3 linked regions of the Xenopus tropicalis genome follow. Each later gene encodes a partner of the first gene's protein in a complex. Links are inferred from orthologs where the notes say so. Each region holds a gene or a part of one and is shown in the gene's direction. Other genes may lie near its edges.

Evidence for each region.
Region 2: the proteins of lyrm4 (region 1) and ndufab1 are in contact, whole or in part, in a crystal structure (PDB 6ODD), measured with the Homo sapiens proteins. The link is inferred for Xenopus tropicalis from reciprocal best matches to the Homo sapiens genes LYRM4 and NDUFAB1. Residues at the interface, in NP_065141.3 of Homo sapiens: Arg6, Leu10, Ser11, Tyr13, Arg14, Leu17, Arg18, Lys21, Arg37, Phe40, Arg41, Lys44; in NP_004994.1 of Homo sapiens: Lys92, Asp111, Ser112, Leu113, Asp114, Val116, Glu117, Met120, Glu123, Asp124, Glu129, Ile130, Asp132.
Region 3: the proteins of lyrm4 (region 1) and nfs1 are in contact, whole or in part, in a crystal structure (PDB 6W1D), measured with the Homo sapiens proteins. The link is inferred for Xenopus tropicalis from reciprocal best matches to the Homo sapiens genes LYRM4 and NFS1. Residues at the interface, in NP_065141.3 of Homo sapiens: Phe23, Tyr26, Asn27, Tyr28, Thr30, Tyr31, Arg34, Arg35, Asp38, Val65, Arg68, Gln69, Ile72, Thr78, Asp79, Lys80, Leu81, Ile82, Ile83, Asn85; in NP_066923.3 of Homo sapiens: Leu56, Arg57, Pro58, Leu59, Pro68, Leu69, Pro71, Arg72, Leu74, Asp75, Leu78, Glu314, Tyr317, Arg321, Asp372, Arg412, Phe413, Thr414, Thr415, Glu417, Glu418, Tyr421.

Annotation. Positions count from the first base shown.
Region 1 is NC_030682.2:88,245,257-88,249,450, reverse strand, and holds the start of lyrm4 (LYR motif-containing protein 4), read left to right. Parts: upstream 1-1,304; 5' UTR 1,305-1,328; intron 1,329-1,495; exon of another isoform or gene 1,496-1,615; intron 1,616-3,921; 5' UTR 3,922-3,941; coding exon 3,942-4,027; intron 4,028-4,194.
Region 2 is NC_030685.2:20,205,355-20,209,670, reverse strand, and holds the start of ndufab1 (acyl carrier protein, mitochondrial), read left to right. Parts: upstream 1-1,447; 5' UTR 1,448-1,480; coding exon 1,481-1,627; intron 1,628-4,316. UniProt on the Homo sapiens protein: Carrier of the growing fatty acid chain in fatty acid biosynthesis.
Region 3 is NC_030686.2:42,814,100-42,817,749, reverse strand, and holds part of nfs1 (cysteine desulfurase, mitochondrial), read left to right. Parts: intron 1-113; coding exon 114-219; intron 220-945; coding exon 946-1,027; intron 1,028-1,562; coding exon 1,563-1,646; intron 1,647-2,101; coding exon 2,102-2,191; intron 2,192-2,687; coding exon 2,688-2,751; 3' UTR 2,752-3,650.

The DNA of each region.
Region 1 (4,194 bases):
ACTCACCTAAAACATTGTTGTATATTAATGTGTTGCAGAGCCAAAGCTGGAAGTTTTTGTGCAATGGTTTTCTACAATTATTACTCTAAGGGGCTGATTTACTAATCCACGAATCCGAATGGGAAAAATTCGGATTGGAAAACGGACATTTTGCGACTTTTTCGTATTTTTTGCGACTTTTTTGTAGCCGTTACGACTTGCGCGAATTGTCGCGACTTTTTCATAGCCAGTATGACTTTCGCGAATTGTCGCAACTTTTTCATAGCTATTATGACTTTTGTGAATTGTCGCGACTTTTTCATTGCCATTACAAATTTCGTGAATTGTCGCGACTTTCGTATTGAGCACTCAAAAAAGTAGCAAAATACCGATCATTATGAAAAAAACGCATTCGGACGCTTTTCGGACGTTCGTGGATTAGTAAATGTGCCCCTAAATGTATATGGCAATATGGGTAGCGCATAAATATGGCGCCAACATAATCTCTCAATTAGGAACCTATATACTTGTTTTTAGTTCTTACAACACAATATCACACAAAAACTGTAAATGCTGCTTAGTTACTAAATGCATTAATAGCAGCACACAGAGCCACTCTAAATCATACATGTGTCAATATAATTTTAAATGCATGTGTGCAGGTATGGTGAGTGAGTCTTCTTGTGGGAGTGTTTCTTCCTTACTTATGGACTGTCTGTATTTTTAAAGAATACAGATTGGTTGCAAGTACATTTTTAATAAATGTATAACTGTTAAGTGTGTGAGTGTACACAATTCTCCCAACAACTGCAGAGCCAAATGTTGCCAATAGTGGGTACTGGGAGTATGATATATTAAAGAATAATAAAGAATAATGAAGAACAGATTTCCTATACACTTTGAACTGCCTATTTAAAACATTTATAGTTTAAAGATGGGGGTATTGACGTTATTTGCCAGTTTAATACAGGTTGTAATATAAAGCATGTATTAAAACAGCTAATATAATTAGATCTACTACGTAGCCTACATATATATTTATACAATAAATGGTTATTACTACATAGCTTAACATATAGTTCTAAAGGTGCAGACACTCACACGACCTAAGCAGCAGGTAATCTATGTGACAATGTGAAGGTCTCTTCCCTTTTCTCCCTCCTTTGGCACTTTCAGCAGATCCTATCACACGAGCCCATGACGTCACAGCTACGGGAGGGGACCTGGGACAAACATGTCAGCGGCGTAAATTTACTCTAACATCCCTGAAACGTGTTAAAAGAAAGCCCTATTGGTCCAACGCTCGCAGCTGCGACGACATTCTCATTTTCCATAGATCGCCGATTTAGGTATCTTTAATATTTAAAAGTTTAGCACTGATATTACAAAGACATATGACTGTTACGATAAGAGGAACAACTTGCCGTAGGCGCTTTTTAGGCAAATAGCATTTTTACAGAAAATACCACAAAAGTTCCAACCGAAAGCAAAACGCGGCACGAACACGTTTGTCCCAGATCCCCTCCTGTAGTCGTGACGTCATGCGTTCTTGCGCTAGAAGCTGCTGAAAGTAGGCAAGAAGTGAAAGAAGGGAAGAGACTTTCACGCTGGTTCACCTATCAACTGTATAGGGAGTGTGAGTGTCTGCATCTTCCTAAGGCTCTATTTACTTATTGCACCCCAGCGCTATTTGTAATAGTGCAATATTCAGCATTTATTATTAGCCTGTGTCAGGATTAATTCGCACTGCACGCTTAAGCCTCAGTGTTGTATGTTAACTCCGTATTAAACTGACATGGAGTTTAAGCTGTAAGAAAATTCAGTTACAGAGCTGTCACGATTTGTCATGTAAAACCATAATATTCCCTATACTCAGGGACTGGCATTGTGAAATATCTACTCAGCAACTGGCACTGTGAGATAACTACAACTCATGTCATACATTTACCTCTTTTCAAAAGGAAAAAAAATAAATTTGTGAAAAGAGAAAATATGTTTCTCTTGTACTGCAGTTTAAATGTTAATATTCACATTTAAACTGCAGTCAAAAAAATGTGGCTTTCCTATCCATTAAGTACTCTATTAACATCTCTCTGGCCCTGTGAATAGTTTTGAAGAGTGTTTCTGAGACAATTAGCATTTGGTCTTCATTGTTTTATTTTTTGTGGTTATTTAGGTTTTCGTTCGACAGCTCTCCAGTTTGGTATTTCAGCAGCTATCTAGTTGCTTGGGTCGTTTTTAACCTAGCAACCAGTCAGTTATTTGAATGAGAGACTGGGAAATAAAAAGGACTAAATAGAAAGATAAGTAATAAAAAGTAACAATAACAAAATTGTGGCCTCAGAAAGCAATAGATTTTTGTGTGGCAGTTTCAGTGGACCCCATCTAAAAGCTGAAAAGAAGCAGAAAAGGAAGGCAAATAATTAATAAACTGTAATATATAATGAAGACCAAATGCAAAGTTGCTAGGAATAGAAAGGAACAGTAACACCAAAAAATGAAAATGTATCAAAGTAATTAACGTATGAAGGTACTGTTACTCTGCACTAGAAAAAGTTGCGTGTTTGCTTTTAGCAACACTACTGTAATTTAAAAATACTCTGCTGTGTAGCCATGGGGCAGTCATTTAAACTGGAAAATTGGAGCAAAGGCACAGGTTACACTGCAGATAACAGAGTCTACAGAGCTTATCTGTTATCTGCTATGTAACTTGTGCCTTTTCTCTTATTTTCCAGCGTTATTTGCCTTTTTCTTATTTTGACTCCAGATTTAAAAAAAACTACTGCTCTGTAAGGCTTCAATTTTATTATTATTGGGTTTTTTTTATTTACCTTTATTTCTATGCAGCCCCTTTTCTATTCATATTATCAATCACTGGTAAATTGCACCCTGGTAACCAGATAGCTGCTTAAATGCCAAACTGGAGAGCTGCTGAACAAAAAAAGCTTAATAAATAAAAAACCATAAAAAATGAAGACCAAATGCAAATTGACTTTATCAATATCTGCATACTAAAGGTGTTTATCAGGGTCAGTTATGCTAGGCAATAGAAAACAGATTTATTTTGAGGCCATATTTGTTTTGCTATTTTCATATTTAATATAATTTTTCCATCGTGGCTTCTTCAAGAACTCATGCACATTTATGGTACATTGAAATTGGATTGGTTTTCAACTGTACTAATCACAGTGTGATCACTTTCTTAATTTGGATGTACCATGAGTCATTTTAACTGCATGTACAAGTTAAAATTGTTCAATAAATGTATATTGGAAAGTTACATATAATTACATTTTCTTTTATTGTGCAAAAAATTGGATCCCATACAAGAGGAGGAGCTAACATTTTTCACTTTCATTTTTCCTCGATTTTAGAAGAATGTAAGCTGTTCACAGATCATATATAGCCATTCACCCAACATGCACCAAACTTCACTCTCAAAATATACAGATAAGGCAAGGATTTATATAAAGTTGGTTAAATTGCATACATGACATCACTACCTGGGATGGAGTTTTATATAAAAAGCATATCCAGTTGAACTGCATGACAGTAACATTTAATTTTTAAGATGTGTTTTGAGTGCCCCCAGAATTGTGTATACAGATGTATATCACAAATGGTAGTGTGCTTGTGGCCTCAGCCAGTTACGCTAAGGACATACTCGAAGAGGTTAGAAAGTGGACATGTAAATAAAGGCTAGAAAAAGACCAGTTGCAAACTGTCTTCTAACATCTTAACATCTTCTAATTTAAAAAAATGAATTACCATGAATATATGATCAATATAATATTGAAAAGAATAATATAATGTCTAATTGCCACAAAGTTATTTTATATTTGCAATTATTACAATGTGCTTTATATTTGTTTATATTGCTTTATATTTTAATGTTAATGCTGGAGAGTCTCGAAGTAATAAAAGTTTGTTGTTTTGAAACAGAATCACATAATCTTTGAAAAATGGCAGCCTCCAGCCGGTCACAAGTGTTGTCTCTCTACAAGATTATGCTAAGAGAAAGCCAGAGGTTCAATTCTTACAATTACAGGTACATTTTCTTCTCATACTTACTCAAAACCTACTTTACTTTCTTATATATATATATATATATATATATATATATATATATATATATATATAGAAAACATTTGGATAAGGGCACTTTCAGTAATTGGGATTTATATACCATATGGTATTTTTTCAGTGGCACTCTAC
Region 2 (4,316 bases), on another chromosome or scaffold:
TCGCGCAACAATTGCAGACGATTGGCAAAGTTAAAAAATTTGGATTGGCGCCCAGGCAAAATCTACATTCCGGGGCTGAATCGGTAGGTGGAGGTAGAATTTCTATTGTTCCTCCATAACTGATGATTCAGCCCTGAACGTCAGTGAAGCCTTTTGCGATATCGGTTGCCTCTTCAAGTTGCCACACACCAAATATCATACAAAACGAGGTGCGTGTATGGCCAGCTTAAGGGTTGGTACCTAAGCTGTCTATGGGTATCCACATTTACACCCCTGATTATTGCACCATTCCAAAAAAAATGTCAACCCTGTGGGACAGTTTTGACAAGTTATGCCCCCAGTTCATAGTTTTGATCTGACAATCTGTGAGTTCTGGCAAATGCCAAAGGGTCTGCTGGGAGATGCCATAGACCAGTGGTTCTTACAACCCTTTCACAGGGGTTGCCTAAGACCATTGGAAAACACATTACAGATGGTCTTAGGCTGATGCCACACGTGGCGTTTTTCCGCTGCGTTTTTTCTCGGCCTAAAAACGCTGCACAAGCCACACATGGCGTTTTTCAGCCTAGTACTGGTGACGTAAGCAAATCCTGTTGCCACGGTGCTAATAGTACGAAATAGCAAAAAACGCAGCGTATTTCCGCTAGGTCTGGCAGTTGCCTTTGCGTATACATAGGAATAGCTTGCTTTGCAAGTACTGGCGTATTTCGGCCTACGCTTGAAAAATCTGTGCTAAGGCGTTTTCTAGCGTATTTCCGCATTGTGTGGTTTGCTTCACGTCTTTTCAAGCTATTTCTATGGATGATGATATCAGGCGTTTTTCAGCCGCCGAGAGAATTAGAAAATACGCAGCGGAAAAACGCCACGTGTGGCATCAGCCTTAGGAAGCGAGATACCGCTCCTCTATGGCTGGGGGGGGTCACCACAACATGAGGAACTGTATTAAAGGGTCGCGGCATTAGGAAGTCATAGACAGTCACTATTTATTGGGCTGCGGGTGCTGTTTGGGCCTCTGAGTACTGGAAATGTCTGTGTTGGGTCTTACTCCAGACCTGCATCAGATTCCTATCTCTGCCCAGTGCAGCCTGTGACTGAGGTAACCTTGGTGGGTTCTAAGCCCTTTTAATTCAATGGTTAAAAGCAACGTGGACGCAGTTTATAATTATCAGGAGACTGTGCTGTTACTAAAGTCACAACCTTAGGGAAGCCCAAAACATGCTCTCTTATGTAAGTTAATATATGTGCCTATGCCTCCTGGTGTTACCCTACTATCGCACTCTATTTCGTAGGCACTTGTTGGCCGAGACTTTCTATCCGCTACTCCTCTCTATCATCTAAGTGCTATCAATGTTATCGCAAAGCCGGTCTGGGACAGACTATCCAGTAATCTCTATGGTTAAAAGCGACTCTATCCAGCGCTGCCGGAAGTCTTATTGGTTCAGTCCATGCCGTGGTGCAGCTTGGGTAGCAGCTGTCCGCCATGGCTTCCCGTGCCCTCTGTGTGTGTGTCCGCGCTGCTCTCCGTCCCCTCCCCCGGCGAGCTTTGCCGGCACTGAGCCTTGCTGCATGTCGGACACGCTCCTCCTTGGCACGGCCATCTACGGCCGCTCCTATACTCGTACCGCAGGTAAGGGGGAGCTAGAGACAGAGCCAGGGCAGGCCGGGCAGGGGTCACTGGGGAGACCGGCACCTGTGCCAGTGGAGAGACAACGCTATAAAGTCAGTGCTCCGCATCTGTCAGTGATAAGTATGGGGCGGGAGTGGGCGCTTTGGATTGGAGCGCTGCAGCAGTAGGAAGTTTATACATCCTAGGTGTGTGCAGAACTACTACTCCCAGCAAGGTTGGTGGGGGGGAATGAAGGGAGATCATGTTAGACTGCGTGTTTCCTGTTCTGTTTCATTCATAGCCCATGTGACTTGTATTTACACATGTGCATTCCTATTTACACACTGTAAGTACATGGAGCAGGTAGGGGGTGCTTGTGTTGGTGGGAGAGCCTCAGTACCGGTACTGCTGATACCCTGTGTGGGCTCACTGCCATATTCAGCATGCTGGCCCCATGGGACGTACTATGCATGATGGGCGCAGGACACCCTGATTTTATTCCAGCAAAAAAGCAGTTTATGCTAGAAAGCTTGCTCTGAGCAGCATCTGCAGCCAAGCGCCTGCGCCGACCTTCCCTGCAGGCAGTGGGAGCGCTACATATACAGGCACTGTATCCTGATGGGAAACTTACCTAACATCACTGGGGCACCCTACAGTGACTATAATAGATAATACTTCTACCCTGGGCAACTGAGCATGTTCCACATTTGGGTGGGATTCCTAGGAAAGCTGTAATATGGTTGTGGCACATTCCGCAATGGGCTGGTTTATTAATATATTGTTTTTGTTTGTTTTTTAAAAAGCGCACCAGCCTTGGGGTAGAATGTTAGCAATTAGTGGCACCAGGGGCTGCTGAACAGGTTCCTCCCAGTGAATTGGGGGTTTAGCTCTCATTTCACACATATATTTGGCAATTCTGCCTAAAGGTGGCCACACACGTGGTGATTTGCGATCTTGGTCACACGAAAGATCGTACAATCATCCACAAACCATTCAGGGCTGAAACGGCACATAAGGAGGTAGAAACAATAGGATTTCTACCTCCTTCTGCCGATTCAGCGCTGAAGGCAGATTTTGGTCAGGCGACTTCTATGGCGCCCGATCAAAATTTTTTAACTGGCCCGATCGGCGAGTCGACCGATATCAGCACCTTCCTGCGTTATCGCCGACTTGCCATACACGCACCGAATATCGTACGAAACCGATATTATCGGTGCGTGTATGGCCAGCTTAATACTTGAAAGGCAGCGAGCACTGCATTTCCCTGCATTTTGCACTTAGCACTTGAGCACTTAACCTTTTAGCAAAAAAGAGGCTATAAAGGGCTTTGTCTTCAAGGATTGCTTCAGGAGCCTGAGGCTCAGGGGGTAATCCCTACACATGAATCACAAATCACAAGTGGGCCTTCGGAGGAACTGTCCCAAGCCAGGGTCGCCCTTTGTTAACCTCTAAGCTGCTTTGCTATGTTGAGTATTACAGCCTTCAAATTGCTGCCACTGTATATACTGGTGTAACCATCTGCCAAGCCCCTGGGTTCTTACAGTCAGTACCGTTGGGGAGCTTCATAGTTTTGCGGTGCTGCTTATTGCCAAGTTGGCCAATCTATGCGGCCTGCTAACAATGGAGATCTGCAGCTTGGCACTGCCCCAGTGACCAGAGAGTGGCACTAGAGAACTGCAGTGTTTAGTTTAGTGCTCCTTATCATGGTGCTGGTGGTGTTCTTCTCTTTGCCTTAGCCAAGAAATCAGTATGACAGCTCCCTCCTGTAGTAAAGATTTCAGATGCAAAGGAGCTCTTGGGAAATGGTTAGGTGGTAGTGCAAAAACACTGTGCTGTTAAATGAGAGTCCCTTATCTCGTGAAAATTCAGCACTGGGTACCTTTGGGCCATAAGTGTCTGGAGCCCATTTACCTACACTTTGCCCGTGGGCAGTAAGCCATAGAAACCAATCAGCGATTGGCTCTTTTTCAGCCAGCCACATGTAGAACAATGAGAGCAACAATTTGATTGGTTGCATTGTGTTACTGCCCATGGGCAAATTTGCCCAGTGTTGATAAATGACCCCCAGTCTTTTGACATTCCTGGGTGTTTGAAGGAAATACCCATTCAAAGTAAATTGGGGACAGTTTCAACTATTCTATCCCCCTCCCATGGATGTACAAAACACCCTGTATGCTGTGACCTTTATACTGAGAAGCAACATTCCTGTTAGTATTAGGCTCCCATTCATATGTATAAATATAAACATGGAAAGAGAGCAGGGCTCTGGAGTCAGTACATAAATTCTTCTGACTCCTTAGTGTATGGTACCCCCACCTTCAACTCTAGGTACCCAAACTTGCCTCAGACTCCACAGCCCTGAGAGAGGGTTGCTGTGTTGGGCAAACCGTGTCTTTAACCTTCGAAGGGCAAATTAATTGAAAAAATGACTCCAGTGCCCACTATGCCTCCCTCACATGTTCTGCTATTTGTAGGATGCTAACAGGTGCAATTTTCCCCAATGTAGTTCTAAACAACTTTTTAATATACATTTATTTTTAATTTCCACTGGTTTAAAGTTATGTGTAAATATAATTGCTTTTGAAAGCTGTCTGTGTTTGTCCCTTTCTGCACTGCTGACTGACTCTTGAAGCAATGTAGTAGAGTTCTGCCTTGCATGCTGCTTCACAGGCCTCTCAGTCAGTTGGCTTTCTATTGTTTTAGTCAGGAC
Region 3 (3,650 bases), on another chromosome or scaffold:
CCTAAACCATGTGTTTTATTGCTTTTGCTGCTGTGGAGAAATGTTGCAGAAATGAGTACTATCTCCTGTGCATTGGCGCATTAATACTCTACAATTGTACATCTATGTTACAGTATGATCACAGAAGAATCAGTGCTCTAGCCAAAAGACTCACCCAGAATATAATGAGCCAAATTCCTGAAGTTGTTTTAAACGGAGATGCAGAGCATCGGTACCCAGGTAATACCTTCCCCTCCCCCAGCTGCATTTGTTAAGCTAAGGGACTTTGTTATTTGTGCCTAATACACTGATTTGTATGGTGGGCATCAAAAATGGCTGTAAACATTGAAAAGTCAGGGCAGGTAAAGCTAAAATCTTAGAACCGGAAAGTAGCCACCTTGCCACTTGATTAGAAAATAATGTCCCGTATGTAAGCCAACAGCCTGTCCTCTTGTAAGGGCATGAAATGAATTGTCAGGCTTATATTACGGGGCTTATTGTATGGTTACATTTCCTGACTCAGACAATTACTGGGATTCTTTTCCACATAGCTTAAGGTTTTCGGGGTGTTTTGACCACCAGTGCCCTCCAGCTGTAAGCCCATCTCCACCTGTCACAACATTAATGGCCTTGGGTGGCACACACACTCATCTGTGACAGTTAGACCTCTGTGCCCAAATGTTCACTTGCCATTGTATAACGTTAGGAACTGTAACAGGCAAAGGGGGTGTTTGACTGCTTGTAGTGGGCAGAACACCCTACGTGCCAAGTTTTCCTATGGTCTGGTTACAGTCTTCCATCTGTCTTTGTATATGACCTGTAGTTTGCATCAGTCACTGTGATTAATGTCTTACTTTCCGTGATGGAACTTAACATTTTTCTGACTGTTGAAACTGTAGCTTTTGGGATATGTAAACTGTGGCCATTATATAACTGTAAAATAATCACACTTTCTTGCCCCCACAGGATGCATAAACCTTTCCTTTGCTTATGTGGAAGGGGAAAGCTTACTGATGGCCCTTAAAGATGTGGCCTTATCATCTGGAAGGTATGGAGCACACATTTGTTTTCTGTTTTGTAATTAAATGGCAGCTTAATTCAGTGTTTCTTAGTCTCTCTATTCAAACCCCCATCTGAGGTCCAACCTTCAGGCAGGGACACTCTCAGCTCATGTTATATGTATGGGAAAACATTGATCTATCAGTCATACAGCCACAGTTCCAAGAACATCTAGGAAAGCAAATACATGTTTACTCCAACTCTCAGACTTTTCTCCAAGCTGGCAATAGGCATTCCCCCAAAATCTCACCCCAGCTCCTGATCCAGTGCAGCCTCACAGTTGTAAAGCACTGATATTAATATATATCACTTCCAACAGCCAGAATCTCAATGCCTGGTAAGTTATAGCCCTACTAACACACAGCGTCCTGTAACTCCTTGCAACCCCTTTGCCTCATATATATATTTAATTATACAGCCAATTTTAGGGGGATCCAATGCTGTAAGAAACACTTTTTTAAATTTAGATTAAATAAAAAAATTTCTCTGTGATTGGAATAACTGTTTTTTCCCTCTGCCTCTAGCGCCTGCACGTCCGCTTCTCTGGAGCCATCTTACGTCTTGCGTGCGATCGGTGCTGATGAGGACTTGGCGCATTCATCTATAAGGTCTGTTTTTACTCACTGTATCTTAATTTGCTACTTGTTTTATGTTTGGAAGAATGTTTTGTGCCCAAATAGGATAATGATCTTTCCGTAATGTGAAGCACCATACATCAAGGCAACTAAAAGTCTAGGAACCAAAAGGAATTACCAGCGCAGTGTTTGCGATTACAAGCAGGGAATCCACCCTTGTGTGTCACTGTGCTGGTAATCCCTTTTGGTTCAGCGTTTTGACACTGGTGCCGTCCCCCCTAACTTGCTGGAGAGGTTTGGGTGTGCATGTGAGAAATTCTACTATCTATGTCTAGGACTTACATTGACCAGATATGATCTTAAATGTGTCTATGTATATGTAAGCTGTATGTGTGATTTATAAACCCTTCTATTTTATAGCCCTGCTGAGACTGTGGAACTTTGTATATTTTCAAAATTATATGTAAATTGTAATTTCTGCCCATTAGATTTGGCATTGGGCGTTTTACTACTGAGGAAGAAGTTGATTACACAGTCAAAAAGTGTGTTGAAGAAGTAAAACGGCTGCGGGAGATGAGGTGAGGAAGATATACGCTGTAATTAGAGGGAATGATTAAAGGAATACTCGTCAGTAGTTGATATAGGTAGTCTGCTTTAAGCAGGAACTACTGACTAAAGGTGGCCATACAGTATAAGATCCGCTTGTTTGATGAGGTCAGCAAATGATTGGATCTTTTCTCCGATATACCCCCTTAGATTGACAATATCGGAGTAATCCGGTCCAATCCTGGCCCAATCAACATCTGGCCAATTTTTGGGCAGATATCGGTTAGGGAGGCGCATTTGAGGGCCCCATACACGGGCAGATAAGATGCCAAATCGGCAGCTTAAATCTGCCATTGCATGGCCACCTAAAGAATGTTTATAAAGGGTGAGGGTTCTCTTTTCAGAATTAACCTTTAATGTGATGTAGACATTAATGTTCCTTGATGATGTGCAAATTTTCCCCACTGTGGGCCCAGTTTTGTTCTGGATTTATATAGCAGTGATTCACCTTCTCTGATTTCTTTGCAGCCCGTTATGGGAGATGGTCCAGGACGGAATTGACTTAAAGAGCATAAAGTGGACTCAGCACTAAACGGCAGCCTACAGGGGATCGGTTCCAGCTGGATTCTGTGCCATATAGCTCTGTGCTATGGCCTCTGTTACACAAACTCTTGCTATTACTTTAGTTACCAGCCTTTTGCTTCCGGAGATGCCATTGTCTGATCTTTGTAGCCTCGACTCTCCGTGTAGTATTGAGCTTATAGAACAAGGCTCGAGTAATATACACAGTGGTTGCCTTCATATTACGCCTGCGTGAAACAGTGAAGGTTTCTGTACTACAGTACAATGAAAGGGTATGCAGAGCCTGGATAAAAACCAAACCTAACTAAATTAAACATAAAACAGAAAAAACATGTTTGATCCTTATGAGTAGTGTGTAAATAGTTGCTGTATAAAGGGGATGCACTATTACTGCTCAATTTAACCCTAATTTTTAACAGTTGTATTTAAGCCTGACTTGGGCAACCTGTGGCCCTCCTAGATGTATCGGTGATGTGGGGCTTGGCAAACTATAGGGCAAACGTTAGTGCTTTGGCCTAATCGCTGCTACTGAAACACTGCTGGTGGTCTACAAAAGTGAAGGGGCTCGGGGGAGACAATATAACTTTAGTGCCAATCAGTTTTAGAATTACATTCCTGCAAAAATTTCCTCTCCTAGTTAAACACCATGTATAACAAACTTTTTCCTTATTTGCCTTATGCTGACCATACACATAAAGGTCTGCTCATATGATGAGGTTGCTAAACAAGTATATGTCAAATCTGGTTGATCCAATCATTTGCCCCCCACCCAAGGGCAACAATCAAATCATTCTATGGTCCTACAGAGAGACTAGTCAGGAGAGGAAACGTCAACGAGCCCAGAGGGGCAATTCTATCCTTTTGAGGTGGCTCTTGTGATGGCGCCCCCAGAACTTACAGGGTCTGGGG